Neodiprion lecontei: one gene and its partner. Each later gene encodes a partner of the first gene's protein in a complex. Links are inferred from orthologs where the notes say so. Each region holds a gene or a part of one and is shown on either strand. Other genes may lie near its edges.

The links.
Region 2: condensin complex subunit 1 (region 1) and condensin complex subunit 2 share a complex: the UniProt entries of both Homo sapiens proteins name them as parts of the condensin complex. The link is inferred for Neodiprion lecontei from reciprocal best matches to the Homo sapiens genes NCAPD2 and NCAPH.

What each region holds. Positions count from the first base shown.
Region 1 is NC_060261.1:30,817,170-30,823,107, forward strand, and holds the start of condensin complex subunit 1, read right to left. Parts: upstream 3,863-5,938; 5' UTR 3,602-3,862; coding exon 3,478-3,601; intron 3,338-3,477; coding exon 3,203-3,337; intron 3,129-3,202; coding exon 2,953-3,128; intron 2,405-2,952; coding exon 2,259-2,404; intron 2,149-2,258; coding exon 2,067-2,148; intron 1,681-2,066; coding exon 1,618-1,680; intron 1,532-1,617; coding exon 1,298-1,531; intron 1,221-1,297; coding exon 888-1,220; intron 786-887; coding exon 617-785; intron 560-616; coding exon 213-559; intron 129-212; coding exon 1-128. Other genes in the region: transcription termination factor 5, mitochondrial, read left to right, coding at 4,108-4,377, 4,464-4,594, 4,742-5,069, 5,149-5,567, 5,679-5,903. UniProt on the Homo sapiens protein: Regulatory subunit of the condensin complex, a complex required for conversion of interphase chromatin into mitotic-like condense chromosomes.
Region 2 is NC_060262.1:1,186,743-1,192,896, reverse strand, and holds the start of condensin complex subunit 2, read right to left. Parts: upstream 3,876-6,154; 5' UTR 3,606-3,875; intron 3,000-3,605; exon of another isoform or gene 2,874-2,999; intron 2,764-2,873; exon of another isoform or gene 2,703-2,763; coding exon of another isoform or gene 2,478-2,702; intron 2,367-2,477; coding exon of another isoform or gene 2,223-2,366; intron 2,148-2,222; coding exon of another isoform or gene 1,632-2,147; intron 1,525-1,631; coding exon of another isoform or gene 1,321-1,524; intron 1,253-1,320; coding exon of another isoform or gene 1,106-1,252; intron 932-1,105; coding exon of another isoform or gene 827-931; exon of another isoform or gene 637-826; intron 493-636; exon of another isoform or gene 385-492; coding exon of another isoform or gene 313-384; intron 240-312; coding exon of another isoform or gene 1-239. Other genes in the region: CAAX prenyl protease 1 homolog, read left to right, coding at 827-931, 1,106-1,252, 1,321-1,524, 1,632-2,147, 2,223-2,366, 2,478-2,702; SAFB-like transcription modulator, read left to right, coding at 4,224-4,346, 4,848-4,935, 5,022-5,185, 5,296-5,640, 5,755-5,779; uncharacterized protein LOC107224625, read left to right, coding at 1-239, 347-384. UniProt on the Homo sapiens protein: Regulatory subunit of the condensin complex, a complex required for conversion of interphase chromatin into mitotic-like condense chromosomes.

The sequences.
Region 1 (5,938 bases):
ACTTTAAACTGACATGCAATGCCTAGAAAACTGCAAGCTTCTATGGCATCACTCGATGAGATCGAGGACAATCGTATTTCTGCTACAGGTATCGCCTTAGAAAGCTCAGTAGCGAAGATTAAACAGTTCTAAAATGGAGAAGCTGGTAAGTTTCCTCATCCAATTATTTACATGGTGTTTGCATATTAATTGTCTATATTTATGTACTTTACCTTAATATACTCCACCAATCTTGCTTGAGTTGCGTAATCTTCTTTTCTCGTTTCCTTCTCTTTCTCATATTCCTTCATTTGTTGATCAATATCGCCACTCCCTTGATTTTCTGTAACTATTTGAACTTCTTGCGAATCTATGAATACTTTGTGCAGTACAGACATTAGGAACTCTTCTTTGTTTTCAGGGGTCATAGTATCGATGGGAAAACTTTCTGGCAATTTTGCACTTAAACTCATTAGCTGTTCCAGTGCTTCGCGGATTTTTTCTTGAAAAAGTAGCTGTCTCAAATTTTCAAAGCGAGAATCCAGTTCAGAAAGAATATCCTCCTCGCATTCCATGTGCTCTGTAAGATTAGCCACCTTTATAAAGGGCCAGAAAAATACATTTGATAGGGTATTACCTTCGACACATATGTTTGATATAGCACTTTGGATGCTTGGGGCAAGCGCATTCCAAATGTCTACTCTAATCTTCGCTCCTGGTTCACTAATACTTGCAAATCTTATTCTCAGAGTCTTGAGTTTTTTCTTTGCATCTGCCAACTGCTGTGTCAACTTGTCTAAGTTGAACTGGAAAGAACGAATATTAATACAAGTAAAGTAATGATTAGATCATCTATCAAAATCAGTGTTATGTTAGGCAATGGAAGACAGAAGACAAGAGAAACTTACTTTTCCAGCAAATGGATTGCACTGCAACAAAGTTCTGAGTAATTGAAAAGCATATTTGCGAACAATCGCGTTTTTATCATTTAATCGGTGAATTACCGCCGTAAGAAGAGCGTTTTGATTTACTAAGGGCACGGCACCTTCTGTGCAAAGATATTGCCAGACCTGAAGAGTCTTGGATCTAACAAACGCGTTTGTGTCCAACAAATGATCCATAAGGTTCTCCAAACACTCGTCTCGTGTTGTCTTCTGATCTTCAGATAGATCTTCAGACGTTAGAATCTCTTTCACTATCGTTCCCAGTATACCAATCACACAGTTTCTCATTAGGTAGCACTATAAAGCAAAGAAAGTGTTGCACGAAATCTGAACATAGAAAATTCACCAATCATTTACACTGATCTCTGTTATACCTCATTTGCAAGATGGTCAGTCAAGTTGCTAACAGCTGGTAATATGAGGTTTGGTTTTGACGAAGCAATTGCGTCAAGGAAAGTCGCAATGTTACGCGTCCCCCCTTCCTCTGGGGTTGCTCGGTCAACTTCACGCAGTATCTCCTTAATGATACCGGTGCATTTGGTTTGTTCAATAACTTCTATTATACCAGTTGCCAAATACACTGCTAGTCCATCGCACATTTTGACCAACTAATTCCGAGGAAACATTTTTTCATCAGGATTAACTGCATACTTCTAGTTAACTTGAGGTAAAGAATTTTCTTTAGGCTACTAACCTGAACTACTTTTATTACAAAGGATATACTATGGTTGTACCGCTTTACTAGAGTCCCCAGTATCTGAAATAAATGAGATTAGACATTGCCAGTGATAATTAGTATTCAGAACTGGAATCAGATTTAAAATTTTCAAATAGTAGGTATAGCAGAGAAAATTAAACCTGCAAATCTAGAGTTTCTATACAAAATTTCATAAGAGCTTATTTTTTCAATAGACTTTACGAAACTCATTATTCACTGTAGCTGGTAGAAAATTGAAAAAAAATATTTTCAGCAATTCGTCAAAGATATAATGAGCATTTAATAAAGTAGGGGTAAGTGATTGAAATATTTCTATGTTATGCCAAAGACTCCATAACTTTCAGAATATATTCAGTAACAGTGAATACCTGGTTTACAGGTTCTTTAAGCATTGAATTAATTGTATATTGTCCATGAAAACTCACTTGGAAGATTGATTCCCGCACAGATTTGTCTTTGACATTTTTGCATCTTTCTAGAACCCTGTAGCATATTTCTGAAATGCACCTAGACAATAAAAGATTTTAGAATATACAATTGGTTCTCTAACAAGACATGCTTAGAGTTTTCATTTTTTTCGGAGTTTCCAAATAAACCTGTGACTAAGAAATACTAACTTGATAAAACTCCCATCAGCTATTGGCGGTTGCCAAAGTTTTTCAAGTGGCAATTGTATCCAGTGATATATCTGTACCAAAATTTCATCGATTTGATCATACCACTTGAGTTCCCAATCCGTTTTCGATGATACTTTCTTCCGTTGCTAAAGCAAAATTTCAAAGACAAACAAGAGATTAAAAACACAATAACTGAGCGATTGGATGTAGATGCAGATTACATAAAAACAAAAACTTATGCAAGATATAAAACATAGCAGTCATTTGTAAATTGCCTAACTTAATAAAATGACGTCTAACGCTTCTTTGGAAGATAATCAAGGTGAACGATATATTAATTGCTAAATAACTAAAATAATAACGAAAATAAAAGAGACTAAATTTTGAGTCATTTCCATGTTCTACACATCAGGGTTTACAAGCAGAATTAATAATCTTGTGGCTTCTTTGTATTATGATTTATTAATATAAAGATTAAGAAAAGAAATTTTAACCTATTACGTTTAAATTTTGTGATTTCAAGTTTCTTGAAAGAAATCGTTGCTATGTTTGTGGTACTGTGGGTTGCTGCTACATTTAAATAGTTTTTTATAATCAGACAACAAACCAGAGTACTATTTCATATTTTACCCTTACTGTTTTTATAATAATGTTTTTGTGAGAACGTTTTGAAATTGTAGAAATCGTTTTTCACCTTTGAACTTCCGCCAGCAGATTCTTCAGACACAACAATCTCGATGTGACGAATTAAACTAGACAACAGGTAAGCGAGCATATTGGTGATGGTAAGCAGTTGTGGTTTATCTTCTGCCGCTGGTTCTCTTCCTCTGTCGTACTGCTTTTCTAATTCGTTTGTAAACATTTTAAGGCCTGAAAAGTAACAAGTAAAACATGTAAAGAATTATGTTTTGTTGTGTAAAAGTTGTGAAAGTTGAAATACTTACATTTGTGGATTCGATCAACTGCTAAAAGGTGAACAGGTATTTTTAAATTTGAGCCGTGCACGAGAACAGAGAAGAATTTGTCGAAGTGTTCGAGCAAGAAGCTGGGCCCCTCCTCCTGCAGGATAGCATTTGTATCTGAAATAGTAATTACAGCGGTGGACTATCAAGTAATAGAATTATCACAAAATTACAGCAACAAACAAGACAGAAAAAAAACCAAAACCCGGAATGAATATTTAATAGTGGAATTTGACTAAAATATAATGATAACATACCAGCAAGAATGTTTTGTATGTCCCGAAGCGGATATACATTTCTAACGGAGTATTTTCCCGGCTGGGTCTGAAGAAGTTGATCCTTGTCGGACGGTATCACAAATTCGGGCATGGCGCTCCGCATTTTAGAATAGAATTATTTACTCAGAGTTTCACTGACATTTCACACGTTGTTGATACACGCGTTACTGATGGCGTTCTTAGTTCGCAATTGATGTAACGGCGGAATTTTGAATCTAGTGACGCCAACATCACACTGCCGGTTATCGCTGCTCAAATAGCCGACAACAATGTATGTTTGGGTCTGCAGAGTTGTCTACACTGTTTTCCGCTTAACTGCACTCACCTTCAGAGTACTTGAGCTTGTAAGAACTTCACCGTGAAGTACGCTCCTTACCATTGATGCGTTAGAAAGAGACATGTCTTTGTCGACGAAATTGGACAAAATACTCCAATCACGTCTCCGTTCACCGTCGAACACAGGGAACGTCTGAATTACCGACCAATACTTGGCCCGCCGAATATGGTTACTCGAGGGCATCACGAAAGAACGATACCTGAAGTATCAAGCGTAACACCGGTGCGGCATTAAATCACGGATGGAATAGATTCAGAGATGAAAATAAAATCATGCTGAGATTTACTTTGAAAAATTGGCTTACAAATAATCAACAGTGTTTAAAAACGACTATCTTCCATGTGACAAAGATGACACAGATCTCAGCAACGATAGAAAATCAATGCAATAATTCAACAACTAATGCCACAGTAGAAAAGATGAAATTTTTGGTTAAGTTATTGAAAATTGACACAAGAGAAGCACGGCATTATTTAAAGGCAAATCAACTCTTGCGCATGGTTCCAAACGAACAAATCGCCGAAACCTACGCACTTTGCTTGGTGAGTATGAGCGACAAGATTAATAAATAAAAAGACGATAAGTACCGTATATTGATTCATATTAAAAAGGCAAATACCACACACAGAAATATGGAATTGGCAACGAAGTGAAGGACATTATAGGAGTAATATCTCTCAAAGCATCCACTTTGGAGCGAAGAATAACTTACTTTCAAGAATTGGGTTGCACAAAATTATTAGCAAACATATTAAAACCGTAAGTAAATACTTGAGAATGTGACAATATGCAACTTTCATTATGACTTCATTCGAATCACTTGATAACGCGAGTAAATACCTTAAACTATTAACTATTAATGTCTGTTATATCAGAAGTTCTCACCCTCAGTCTTGTGTATTCCAGTTTTATGACAGGCTGTGAATACAGTCTTCAACAATTTCAGGACTGGAATCTGCTACCGGCTGATGTTGACATTGCGAAAAATATTTTCAGTGTTCTCAATAAACCACCGCCAGATGTTCCATGCTTAGATTCACTAAAAAAAAGTAATTCTATTCACACATATCGCTCCATTTGCCTAGAGCATTATCTCAAGTGGCGGCTGGAGTACACTGAAAAGGAATTGAGTAAATTAACAGCAGTTATACAAAAGTTTCGTTATTTCTCTATAAGATCGATCGAAGAAGTAATCGACTGTCTAGAGAATGAACTCGAATTTTCTAAAGCTAAGGTAACGTCAATTTTGAATTATTTTTCGGGTATCATTAGTAATTGTTTATAGTAAATAATTATATTTATGTTTTCCATAGATAAAGCAAGCTAATTTTCTACTTCGTGCAGACGCAACAAATATCAAGCAGTTACTGACGACGTATAAACAAGTTGCTGGCAGTGATATGAAGCCTTTGTTAATTAAAAATCCAAAACTTTTGGACGTAAAGGCAGACCTGATCCCTGCAAGGTTAGAGATTCTTAAAAAACACGGTGTGACAGAATCTGCGCTAAAAGTATATCCTACTATATTATTGCTCTCGAAGGAAACCATAGAATCTAGACTGAAAGAGATACAGAGCATACCGGAATTAAGAGGTTTTTTGGATCATCAACGCTTATTGCTCTTAATTCTATATTTACGAAAAGCAAAAGATCGTTTACAGTTCATGAAAGAGCATAATGTGAAGAGCATCAGCCTTTTTACGCTTAGCTCTAGTTCCGTTTATTTCAATAGGTTAGTGAAATAATTCGTTCTTCATCACTTTTTCACTATCAAAGTTTACTCCGTTATTCTTAATATAAAAAGAATTCTTTATTTCTCTGCTTTTTTATTTCATTTTTGAAGACAACTTGAAGAGGGACTTGTACGAGCTAAAGGTACAGACTTGTTACAATTTTTGAGTAAAAACACAGGCGCCTCTCAAGCTTCTATTCACCGGTCCCTACAGAAGAATTCAATGTGGCTTCATGCACCATTTATTCACGTGGTGGATACATATTTTTATTTAATAGAAAGAAATTATACCAACGAAGATATTCTGAATAATGTTCATATTCTACTCTACAAAAGGTAAGACGATGTTTTTTCGTGATTAGAATTAAGAA
Region 2 (6,154 bases), on another chromosome or scaffold:
CTCCTGGCCTCCCATTGACACAATGGTTGTAACTCCGGCCTTCGCATTCAGGGAAAGAATGCCTGCTACGTATTATCCTTCAAAACATGTCTCAATCTCCGCGTCTAACTATCCAAGAGGACGTGGAAAGGGCCGTGCACGAGGTCGCGGAAGAGGAGGTTTGCCAGGCCGTGGAAGGACTTTGCAGAGTGCTGCAATCGAGCGTTCCGCAGGCATTAACCACGTCGACACAAAGCGCGGTAAAAACCAATTTTTCTTTCAATCACTTCACACTAAAGCAGCCAATGTTTTCATGTATGATGTGTTTCACAGACCACATTCTCAGCTTCCGATCGTTTGCTTCCAGGTAAACAAAAAAAGTTTAACGTGCAACACGAAACGCCGGTAGAACAATCATGAATCGATGAAAGAAGAAAAGATGTGTACTATTGTATATTTTGGATGATATTATGATAAGTGTTTTGCATCGAATTAAAAAAAAAACAAAGACAACATCATTACAGTTTTTTTTGTTCATTAACTTCCTGTAATATGTCGAGATTATTGAATTCAGACCGCCCAAACGTTGCGACTACGTCGAATTCAAATTTCCCGCGACATCTTTGGATCAAGACGTTGGATATATCGAAAATCGAGAGAGACAACTTCAAGTCTGTCTACTGTCGCATCATTCATTCCAATTTGTGATTTGAGACCACTGACACTGATATATATTAGTGTTTGAGACTATAGGCCGGGAACACACATGAGACCAGCGAAACACAGTGTGTCGTCCTTTTTACGCCAAGAGTAATTCGGAGAGATTTTTTAGACGACTACAACAGCCATGTCATCTTCCATTGAACAATTCGTTGGAGAAAACCTGAGATGCGAGCTGCTCGCGTTAATATGGATTCTCTGGTCCTGGAAGTTTTATCTCAGTCTTCGCCAGGTTAGCTTTCAGTCCCTGTTTATACCTCCCAATTTTTCGACTTATTAAGTGACACGCAATGCGGTACCACCCTCAAATTAAATTCATCACCCTTAGGAACAGTTTTTTCAAAGCATTCCAAGGGTGACTGGATCCTCAGTCTCTTAAAATGATTTGCATGATTATTCCCTGCAGACAAAGTTAATGAACAAACTTGTTGACGTCCCTGGCGAACTGAAGGACCTCATCACGCCGGAGGTTTATAATAAGGCACGCCTCTACGCCATCGATTGCAATTATTTTTCAAACATCAAAAGTCTGTTTTCGACATTCGTCACCACGGTGGGTATAAGCAAGCAATTTTAATTTGTCTTCTGGTTGTTCATGCATCTAAAACTCATCATCTTCAGGGGATGATACTGTTTTTTGCCTTCCGTCATTTTTGGGATTGGGCGGTGAAAATTTCTACCGCGTGCGGAATTAGCAAGCATAACGAAATACTGATTGGCGGTACTTGCATGCTGATCATGAACATCCTTAGCACTATCGTTGACCTGCCATTTTCTGTCTACAATACATTCTGGCTTGAAAACAAGCACGGGTTCAATAAGCAGGTAAGAATGTTTATAAAATAACTAGTCAAGCTTGACAAATGTGCTCCAAAAGCTGTGCTACGTTTCATCTGAATTCACAAGCAATAAAAATATTTATCCTTTTTCAGACTGTTTCATTCTATATAAAGGACCAGATAAAGAAATTTATCGTGCTACAAATAATTGTGATTCCGCTGAAATGCGGAGTAGTTTGGATAGTTCAAATAGGAGGAGATTATTTCTTTGTATATCTGTGGGTCTTTACCGGCATTGTAACTCTGTTTATGCTGATTATATACCCAGAGGTTATAGCTCCATTGTTTGACAAGTACTCTCCGTTGCCCGAAGGAGAGCTTAGAACAAAAATTGAAGAGCTCGCATCATCCCTTGGTTTTCCCTTGTACAAATTGTACATTGTTGAAGGATCCAAACGATCCTCTCACAGCAATGCGTACCTTTACGGTTTTCACAAGCACAAGAGAATTGTCCTATTCGACACCCTGGTCAAAGAATATTATAAACCAGACGCCAATGACACCGATAAAGACAAAGGTTGTGAAACTGACGAAGTCGTGGCCGTTTTAGCCCACGAACTTGGTCACTGGAAGTTGAATCACACCTTCAAGTGTCTTGTACTGTCTCAGGTAAGACTAAAGTGTATTTAGGTATTTCTCTTTCACAGCTCGCTCTAATTTTGATCGTGCATTCTTTGATTACAGGTCAACATTCTATTAATATTCATTATCTTTGCTAAACTGCTCAACTATCAACCAATGTACACTGCATTCGGATTCAGCGATTCGCAGCCAATATTCATTGGATTAATTATCGTAATGATGTACATCCTGATCCCGCTAAATACGGTAACTAATTCGATTATTTTCTGTCGTTTGATATTAATCTCATTAACCTCTCTCGTAATCCTTTTTCTTTTCCGACTTCATTCACACCTGGTCCAAATGTACTTTTTTCAGTTAATGGGCTTTGTCTCCGTTGTGATCAGCCGGAAGTTTGAATTTCAAGCAGATAATTTTGCAAAGACCTTAGGACACACTGTCCCCCTGAAAAGTGCACTAGTTAAATTGCACAAAGACAATCTGGGTTTTCCTGTATTTGACAAGCTCTATTCAGGATGGCATCACTCTCATCCCCCGTTACTTGAGCGACTAGAAGCTCTGGATGACAAAAAATCCAACTAGATAATTCGCTTTCACGTCTTGAGCATGCTGCTGCTATTGCCGCCACTGAATCAATCACGAGGTATTTTTAATACAGCAAAACAGTTTTCAACCTTAGATTTTAATGGAAAGTTTTGAAATTTCTTTTAATTAAATCTGGAGGTGAAAGAATGTTTTTTTTTTTTTTTTCAGACAATCGCAGAAAAGCGGAACGAGACGAGACAATGGGAATGATATAGCCGAATGCATCGCAAGAACAGGAATTTGTACTTACACCATCTCGCATGTTGCTTAAAGCATGCATCATAATAAGAATGTCAAAAACAATTTCAAAAGGATAATCAACCCTAGATTTATACATCGAAAAAATATAAGGTTTCAGTTTTACTTCACATATTTAACATGTGTTGGTTCGTCCAGTAAGCAACTCTGGGCACTAGTACCAATAATATGAATAATGGATGAAACGCTTCGATAACCCGAAGACGATTACCAGATGTAAGAGATCAGCATGCATGATATATTGTATTTCTTCAAAAAGTGTTTTCTTCTTTTTTTCACGCACAATATGCGAAGTAAATTCAATTCGAGAGAAATTAAACTTTTGATAAATAAATTAATAAACGTCAGAAAGAAGCACTCACTATTCCCTTTTTTTACTTACGTTCTATCTTGTACATTGTTACGAAAATCAAAATACAGATGTAGTCAGATTTCTTGACTTAGAATTGTGAAATCTACATTGTGAACCCTATATTATTATATCTTCTATTGCGTAATGTACGATATTTTTTGTGTATGTATGTACAATAAATTAATCTTATTACGTAAAGAGAAATTCTCCTTATCTTTTTTCAAAGATTGATTATATGTCAGTTTGGAAAATTGGATGCCAATAGCGAGCAAAAAACTTTGTTTCGTTACTTTTAGAGCTGCTGGAGGTAGCTTCGCGTGTACAGAAAGTGCAGCGGAGAAGTGAGAAAAAGAGGTACGTGTTGCTTTCACTGAAATGTAGTTCTACATAAATACAGTGGACATACATGTCAATCTGTTTCTCCTGCTCCACTCTTGTTTGCTCGATACATTTTCTCTCAGTCATCAAATGCAGAGTGAAAGAGACGGAGTAACCCTAATATATATTTCTCTCTCTCTCATCACTTCGGCTGCATTTTTCGCGATGTCGAGAGAATGGTTTGCTCTCTCTAGATAGTACATGCTCCAAGGTTAAATACTACTCCACTGCACTAGTGACGCCTCGTGTTCGTAACGCGAGGTATTAAATGGCGACGGCACCGTTTCCGGTTTGTCACTGAACTACGTGAACTAGTGACCGCTGCCCGCCAGTGTCAATCTTGGGTTAACGACAAGTGTCTCACCATTGTAATATGCCAAGATTGATATGCCGCACAGAGTATTAATTAGGTGATATAACAGAGAAAAGTTGAAACGTCAACATCCGAGACCGTGACACGTCATTAATCAAACTCCGGTATAGATCAGCATCCGCGTACGTTTTCAAAGTTGTACGGATAGCTGCAAGCAATGGCCGAAACAGAGGGGAAAAAGTTGGTCGAGCTACGCGTGATCGATCTGAAAACCGAGCTGGAGAGACGCGGGCTTGACAAGACTGGCAATAAAGCTGCTCTTCTCGAACGCTTGTCGAAGGTAAAAGAACAGTTGCTATTAAATTATAAAGATCCCCAATCTCTACACCGATTATCAAATCGGGCGTGGGATGACGAATCGTCCGGCAAACGTTACGCGTGAGACGCCATTTTTATGCTATTGATTTTTTTGTCACCTCGGTCTCGTTATTATGCGTTATCGCCTTTCGTGTTGCCTCAACTATTTTCAGCCGTAACGCGATAACAGCCGGCGTTTACTCCCTCTGCTCAGGACTTCTGTCTTCGCCTATAGAGATAAACCACTTTCCCATGGTTCCCGGTGTTTCTCCTCGATTTCTCAGTTTCTTCACTCGATGAGCGCGTATTTGAATAACAACGATTGTTACCCACTCTTCGTTGAGTCATTATTTTGTTCATCACGTGGCCCGACGTGCTGTTTATCTTGAATATTTTCCCACTCCTCGAGACGAAGTTGATACACAATGGTGTTTATCCTTTTTTCAAAATAGTTTGTATCACGTATCTTTGATATTTTTGACAGGCGATCACAGAGGAAGGAGGCAAACCTGACGAGTATTTAATTGTACCGAGTGGTGGACCTAACAAGGTTATACCAAGAAAAAACAGTGGTGAGATTTTTAGCCCTGATGTCTGCTGTTACAGTCTATTTCCTTATTTCAAGTAACTATTGCATGGGATCACTTTGCACTTTTAGTAACCGGCATACCTGGCCAAGAAGAATCTTTGGAAGGGTCTGATAATCGAAAAGATGAAAGTTTGGAAAATCAAGCAAACTCAGAAATGAAGATCAAAGAAGAGACGTCACCCCCATCTAGTGAAGAAATCTCTGAGAATGTAGTCAAGAAGGAAGTTAAGAAGGTGATATAGAAATCAAGATAGAATTTTTCAAACTGATGCTTTAAATAATTTTTGGCCAATCTTAGTCCTCAACGCATCTGCAAACTGGCATAACCAATTTTACTCAATAGGAACAAGAAGAAGACAAGGTGAATGAAGGAGTCAAGGCTGTGGATATTAAGAAGGAAGATATCAAAAAAGAGGATATCAAGATGGAGGACATGAACAAAGTGGTTACTAAGAAGGAAGATATTGAAAATGAAGAGGTCAAAAAAGAAGAGCCAAAAGAAGAAATCGAAAACGAAGCAGATGAGGATCAGAATGATAAAAATGATGTCGATAACACTGTTAAGACTGAATCAAGCCCACCACCAGTTCTGTCCAATCCTACCGCTGTCGAAGCAAACGGAATTGATAACGAGGACTCGATTAATCTGACAATTGGCGAAGACGAAGAGAATCTCCTTGCCGAAGAGGTATGATTACTGTTTACTCCTCGTTGATTTCTGTAGTTATTCATTTACAATTGTATCCAAATTCTTTGACATTTCCAATCGACTAGTCTAAATTTTGACATGCTCTATTTTCAGACGGAAACTCACGACAGGCGCAAGGGTAAGTCTTATTCACAGTTGTAACATTTAAGTAGTTGTAATGTAAAGAGAACTAGTTATAAGTCTTCCGAAGACGTAGAAAATTACGATCATCAAATCATTCGGACGTTCTTCCAACTCTCTAAATCTCGTTACTGAGATTCCTGCACCGAAACTTACTGGAACTGCGACGAGCATCATGAGATGCAAAAGCTTATGGCACAACCTGCAACATTGCCCTATGGATTTGGAGAGGATACATACGTTCTTTCGATCATCTGGGTGGTTGAGACTGTCTCAACGGGATGCTGGCAAGAACTCTTCGCCTGCAAGCCGATCAGCAAAGAAGAAACTTCTATTGATGGGAAATCAACCAACGACCAGCTTTCATAATATG